Bombyx mori: one gene and its partner. The protein of the gene in region 1 interacts with the protein of each later gene in a pairwise test. Links are inferred from orthologs where the notes say so. Each region holds a gene or a part of one and is shown in the gene's direction. Other genes may lie near its edges.

The links.
Region 2: the proteins of DNA primase small subunit (region 1) and RpS2e interact in a two-hybrid assay, tested with the Caenorhabditis elegans proteins (2 studies listed by BioGRID). The link is inferred for Bombyx mori from reciprocal best matches to the Caenorhabditis elegans genes pri-1 and rps-2.

What each region holds. Positions count from the first base shown.
Region 1 is NC_085116.1:10,063,794-10,067,891, forward strand, and holds the start of DNA primase small subunit, read left to right. Parts: upstream 1-1,296; 5' UTR 1,297-1,450; coding exon 1,451-1,453; intron 1,454-1,521; exon of another isoform or gene 1,522-1,522; coding exon 1,523-1,779; intron 1,780-1,917; coding exon 1,918-2,087; intron 2,088-2,454; coding exon 2,455-2,653; intron 2,654-3,373; coding exon 3,374-3,581; intron 3,582-3,794; coding exon 3,795-4,098. Other genes in the region: uncharacterized protein LOC101739672, read right to left, coding at 152-355, 502-553. UniProt on the Caenorhabditis elegans protein: DNA primase is the polymerase that synthesizes small RNA primers for the Okazaki fragments made during discontinuous DNA replication.
Region 2 is NC_085119.1:4,434,611-4,437,898, forward strand, and holds RpS2e (ribosomal protein S2), read left to right. Parts: upstream 1-1,427; 5' UTR 1,428-1,453; intron 1,454-1,752; 5' UTR 1,753-1,753; coding exon 1,754-2,272; intron 2,273-2,467; exon of another isoform or gene 2,468-2,469; coding exon 2,470-2,736; 3' UTR 2,737-2,777; downstream 2,778-3,288. UniProt on the Caenorhabditis elegans protein: Component of the ribosome, a large ribonucleoprotein complex responsible for the synthesis of proteins in the cell.

The sequences.
Region 1 (4,098 bases):
GAGACAATGTGTGATATTTATGATGTGGCTATCTTTCTAAGGCAGGCTATAGAGTTTTCTAAATAGTATTACAGCCTTGTCTGAAATTTTAATATTTTTTTTTTTAATTCTTTAATATTCAGTATCTAATATTAGTAGTATAGTAACTTACCTTCTAAAAATACAATTACTAGAAATATAGTTGAGGTCATCAAAATAACAGTTACAGAAAAAAACGTAGATATAAGCAGTAAATTTAATAACCAGGCTGCTATTAAAGTCATTGCCAATGGCTTTCTTAGCAACGATTCGATCAATACCTTTGATGCATTAAGAAATTTTTCCGAAGTCTTGCAATACGAATTGTGCAGTGAACCTGAAAATATAGACGAATAATTATTTTCGTAAATTAAAGTAAATACTGTTGGTGGTTTAAACCACAAACACATGTGAAAAGTATTTTAAAAGATCCATTACTTATTAAATTAGGGTTTACGGTTATTTTTTAATGTTCCTACTTACGAAATGACATTTTTACTACTATTAAAAAAGCGGTGTCTTTATTAATTTCCATATTGTTTTAGTAGTCAGAATTTCAGCAGTTTTGACATCAATAACTAAATCAAGATTCAATTCACACACAAAGCTGAATAAAATTTAGGGTAGGTAGTTGAAAAATGTTTACGGGTAGGTTAAAAAATTTTTTTTACATTTGAGTCGACTATTATCAAAGGCGGCAATCTGACTTTTGGACAATGATTGGTAAATCAGAAAAACGAATTATTGACTTTGTATTCCATTGGCAGTCACAAAACTCTTCGGAACGACATCTTAGATAAATAACAGGTTAACTATTAACCTTTATTTAATGCAGGTTTTGAACCGTATTCTTTGAAAGAGACGATTATATTCAAATAAATCTGTATTGACATATCAATAAAAATTTTTTGTCCAAATGTACAGATTGCCGCCTTTGTTAATAGACGACTCATTTAATCGATTCTACAAATTTTCGGTCTCGGATTCCTAATTAGTTTTTATTAAAGGATTTAATGACTTGGTAACTAAGACTTTTAAGTCATGTCTTATTTTAATTTATATTCTTATGTTTATGAAAAATGATATTAAGGAGTGAAATGAAATGAAGATGATTAATTTGAGACATTAATCAACTGGGATGAAATTAAATGAAATGAGATGAGATGGTATGGAATGAAATATAATCTCAGTAAAATGACTGAGATTATAGATAGAGAGATATCATCTCATCTCATTTCATTTAATTTCATCCCAGTTGATTAATGTCTCAAATTAATCATCTTCATTTCATTTCATTTCACTCCATATTGGTTATCATTTTTCATAAAAATAAGAATATAAATTAAAATAAGACATGACTTAAAGGTATTAGTTATCAGGTCATGAAATCCCTAAAAAAAATGTCATTATAGGAGTTGTTGTTTTGGTAAAAATGGTAAGTTCAAATTCAAACTGATCTAAATAAAAAACTAAACTTCTGATTAATATCAATTTAATTGTACAGATTGGCGAACACAATGAAAACATTCTATCTGATATGCTACCCACTTACTATGCCAGGCAATTTCCGCAAAATATATTCTGTAGATGGCTAGCATGCGGTAGTTCGCCTCAACCGCTCTGTAACAGAGAATTATCATTTACTTTAGCTGACGATGTCTACCTCCGTTATTTGTCGATTTCGCATCAAAAGGATTTACAAACCCTTCTTCAAAAGAAATGTCCACACAAATTGGATGTTGGAGCAGTTTACAACACAAAGTATGTTTTATGTCTAAAAGTTTGTATGAAGTTAAAATATCATGCTTGAATATTTAATAAAGTAAATTTCATTTATTAGCATTTAAAAAGCAATATTACACTCTTTTATTGTCACTTGGTATTCTTCCGTTATTTAAGGCCTTCTGTAGGAAGACATGACGCTGTAGTGATATCGCGAGAACTAGTATTCGATATAGATTTAACAGACTATGATGAAATAAGAACATGTTGTCAAGAAGCTAGAGTGTGTGAAAAATGCTGGAAATTTATGGTTATTGCATGTGAAATCATTGATAAAGCTTTAAAAGGTAAATACATGATTTACTTTACTGAGCTACAGACCATTAAAGATTCTTCTATATTTCTATATTTATTTACCACACCACACTCATTAAAATGTAACCTATCTCATGCATACTTGGGGTGGCGAAAAAAAACTACAAAACCATATGTCCAGCAGAGGATGTTTGTGGGCCAATAGAAAAAAAAAAGAAAACCAAAACATATTTACACTGTAGTAGTTAGTTACTTATATATTTCCACTAGTGAATGGATTTTGACTTCAATTATCCACATCTATAGTATTATTTTCATGATACAAGTGATTCATGATTCTTATAATTGACAAAATGATTGATTGAATTCAAATTCACATCCTTGACTTACTAATTTCAGATGACTTCGGGTTCCAAAGCATCCTGTGGGTATTTTCAGGTCGGCGTGGTATTCACTGTTGGGTATCAGATTATGAAGCCAGAACTCTCGATAGTCCAGGTCGAGGAGCTATTGCCGATTACCTTTGTTTAATCGTAGGTGGTGAAAACCAAAGTAAAAAAGTGCATCTTGGCAATGAAAACTTACATTCCAGTATAAGGTTATATCATTTTTTTTTAATTTGATATTCTTACATGAGATTTACATAAATATTTTTTGAAAATGATAGATGATCATAATTTTGTTGATAATAATTTTGTTAATTACTTCTCGCAAAATTAAAAATTACTTTTATGAGTCGATCTACCCATCCAAAGAAGATTAATAAGAAAATACTATTATTTTCTTTCATAAGCTGCTGGAGCACATTACCAGAGTTTTGACCAGTAAAAATCATTACTAAGGCTAAGGGAAAAGTGATTATGATGTAACACTGTATTATTATTGGTTACATGTGAAAATAATTTACATTGGTCATGCTAATCAGAATTTAGAATGCTTAGAATGTTACCTTGATATAATGTCACATATCAAGATCAGGACTAGATTTGACACAAAGTCCCTTTTATATACATACCTTTATATACTTTACAAGTGTATACAGTAAGACATCACCCCCAAACTTATAATTTTAATACCGCTGTCCTTATCATTTTCACTAATAAACTTTTACACTTTATAATTTTATACTACACATAACTTATATAACACTCCCTTGAGGAAGTTACGCATTCCCTTGTATATTTACACGTTTCATGTTCGATCTGATATTCATTTTCGTAAGGAGAATGAGTTAGGCATTAAGTTTACTAATATATAAAATACATGAAGTGTAAGTAATAAATAAATTAAAAATAGTATATTTAAATACTTGTTCCAGGCGTGCCTTAAATATAATAGACAAATACTTTGAACAATTATTACAAGATCAGGAATTTTTAGCAACAGATAAGCTAAACTCATTTTTGAAGTTGATACCAGATGATGCGTTAAAATCACAGGTTGAAACAACTTTGAAAAAAATGCAGGAACCATCATTGAATAAGTGGAACACTTTTATAAATATTTATGAAAATTATTGCAGAGAGGTAAAAAAATAATAAAATTTTGACATAAAGAAAAATTTGGTACTTCATTAAAAATTAGAAATTCATTGAAAAGTCGTTGGCATTTGTTTTTTAAACTGCTTAAATTTTTTTCCAAGGATACAGTTCAAGATTAACCTACATATTAGAAGTTGTGTCCTAAAAAATATGCATATATATGTATGACTCTATTTTGTCATGTTTTTCAATTTGTAGAATGGAAATGTTATACGAAAAATAAAATATCTTATAGAAGAAATAAAAATTCAATATTGCTACCCCAGATTAGATGTTAATGTGACAAAAGGTTTCAATCACTTGCTCAAGTCTCCATTCAGTATACATCCGAAAACTGGAAAAGTGTCTGTTGTTTTCAAGTCAGCAAATGCAAAGAATTTGAAGATCGATGAAATACCAACAATATACAGTTTATTAGATGATAGTGTCGCCGAAAATAACCAACATGAAACTAATATGAAAGCGGCTGTTAAAATTTTCCAAGAACTTGTATTCGCTTTGG
Region 2 (3,288 bases), on another chromosome or scaffold:
GCCCACCTGGTGTTAAGATTTTACTATACTACTACTGCGTTTTTATAGTCTCTAGCCTGATGTTGCCTTTTCGTATATTTTTATAGCGTAAAATCGTGAAATATAAAACACACCGAGAATATAAACGTAGAAGCTTTTGAAATTCACATGGGTGCACAGAATGATGAAGATACTGTAGATTGATTGAATTCTTTAAAGTAAAATCTTGCAAATGACCACAAAAAGTGGGATTTGAAATACTGTCAAAAACGTATGTTTGGCATAATAATATGCGAAATTATAAATAGGATTTGCCCCTGCTGAGAATGAAAAAGAAAATCCAGGGGACGTGGCCACCCGGAGGAAGACGTTATGGCACAAGTATATCGTTACGTGTATGGACTATGGCTTTAAGATTTAATAAAAATAATAAATAAAAAATAATTTTTTTTAAGGGATCTTTCGACATGGTAACTAAGACCTTTAGGTCATAAATAAATGGTCTGTGCTTCGTAGCGACTAGAGCTACGCAGCACAAATCACTCCCTACGAAATGTGAGATTTTTTCAGTCTACGAGACTATTTCTAAACGAACTACTTTAATGATAGAATAGATGCATGAGAGTTTGTCGACTGAAATTAAGTAAAGTGGTGTCGTTTTTTGTTTTTTTTTCGTTTACCTTTGCTGATAGCATTGAGAGGCTATGTCAGCGTTATCTGACGAATTGGTTTCGACTTTTTTCTAGGATGATTCTATGTCCAACTAGATTAAGTACTTATGATTGTACAGATACGACGTTTCTGAAAATTTAATTAGGTTGGTGTATATAGATAAATTTGGCTCTCTTTATTATTTAAATCTTATCAGAAATACAGATCGAATCACGTGTAACTGAATTAAATAAACACAAAAAAATAGTTACATAAACATTTTGAAGATTCAAGTAGGATCAAAGATATTCAACGCAACACATTGTTGCACAACAAAGCACAATGTGCCTTATTGCGAAAGTATAGTGAAAAAGTTATTCTATTACTCATTACTCTTGGTCTCAGCACTGACTCAACAATTACCGCTCTCTCTATCCGCTTTCTTATGCATCTTTTTATTAATAACGTCGATAATTGAGGAATCCAACCTCACCGTGTACCCAGATAGTCTTAGCTATCCATATATATATTATTATTAAAAAAAAAAACCGCATTTAGAAGAAAGATGTGTTAGTAGTTTAGTTAGTCCTTATTAATCATTATAAAACTTGAGATTTTGATTTAAAAATATTTTAGGTTTCTAATTAATTAAAACACACCATTTTCGGATCGAGTTTTTAAAAAAATCGAGGGTTTTAAAAAAACATCGATAATCTAATGACAGCACATTCGATTTTCTCGATACTTTGTTAGGCTCTATTGAACTAAATAAGTTCAAACGGCCATTTTGTGCTTGACTGTCTATCAGAGCCCATCGTTCAACGTAAGTTTTAGAGTTAAATGAATTTAATATCCCAATTATTTTTAGTTTTAACTTTTTAGTTATGCAAGTGTTTTGTTTACTGAGAAGACTCAATTTAAGCGTCCATCGTCCAAAGGATCTCTTTTCAATTTTCAACCCCTCACCACGTGGTTTATGATGACACAATTTTTTTAATTCATTCGTGGTATCTACCATAGTGTTAGCACAGTGATGGCCTTTATGCGTCTGATAAATAGCTATTCTTTGTGTAAATTGTCTATAATTTAGTAATTATTAACAAGATAAACTATAAATTCCAGAATGGCGGACGCTGCTCCAGCCGGTGGACGTGGCGGTTTTCGCGGCGGATTCGGATCACGCGGTGGAGATAGAGGCCGTGGCGGTCCTCGTGGACGCGGTCGTGGTCGCGGCCGTGGTCGTGGGCGCGGCAAGGAAGACCAGAAAGAGTGGGTTCCTGTCACCAAACTCGGCCGTCTTGTTCGCGAAGGAAAAATCGACAAACTCGAGAGCATTTACTTGTTTTCTTTACCAATCAAAGAATTCGAGATCATTGATTTCTTCCTCGGCCCGTCCCTGAATGATGAGGTTCTTAAGATCATGCCTGTACAGAAACAAACACGTGCCGGACAGCGCACACGTTTCAAGGCATTTGTTGCCATTGGCGACAACAACGGTCATATTGGTTTGGGTGTGAAGTGCAGCAAGGAAGTCGCCACTGCCATTCGAGGCGCTATTATCCTTGCTAAGCTGTCAGTTCTACCAGTCCGAAGAGGTTACTGGGGTAACAAGATAGGAAAGCCACACACCGTCCCTTGCAAGGTAAATGCCACTTCTATATTTAAAAAAATATTTAAATTGTATAAATGATGATAACATTCTAATCATTTCATTCGTGGTATCCTCTTGAGGTTTATCCTGTGAAGCTTTTGAACGTCTGAATTAATTTAATTGTGAAATGAAAACATAAAATTGGTTTCGATCGTTTTAATAAATCAAACAAACAATTGTTTTTTCAGGTCACCGGCAAGTGTGGTTCCGTAACAGTCCGGCTGATTCCTGCCCCTCGTGGTACTGGTATTGTGTCTGCGCCAGTTCCTAAGAAGCTTCTTCAGATGGCTGGTGTACAGGATTGCTACACGTCAGCTCGTGGTTCAACTGGCACCTTGGGAAATTTTGCTAAAGCCACATACGCTGCCATTGCCAAGACATATGCCTACCTCACTCCTGACTTGTGGAGGGATATCCCGCTGACTAAGTCTCCATACTCAGAGTTCAAAGTCTAAGACAGTCATTGTATAACAACTGAATAAAAGAATTTGTCTTACTTTGTACTTTTATTGATTAATATTTTCTTTTTTCTATTTTGTTAGCACAGAGACATCTGCTGCTGGACATGTCTTGTGATTTTTATTGATTAATAAGCTTAAAAAGATATAAACTTCACTTGCAAACTATAAAATTAGCTTAAAACTATTTAATATATTGAAATAAATTAAATAAAGTACTAATAATAAGTACCCTAAAAAATAATAATGTCATTTTAGCTTTGAATTTCTTTCAAAGTTGAGTCTTCAAGATTTTTTTATTTATTAGCTTAGATGGGTCAACGAGCCCACCTGGTGTTAAGTGGTTACTGGAGCCCAGACATCTACGACGTAAATGCGCCACCCACCTTGAGATATAACTTCTAAGATCTCTGTATGGTTACAGCGGCTGCCCCACCCTTCAAAACACCGAAACGCATTACTACTTCATCACGGCAGAATTAGGCAGGGGAGTGGTACCTACTCGCGCGGACTCACAAGAGGTCCTACCACCAGTTAATACGCAAATTA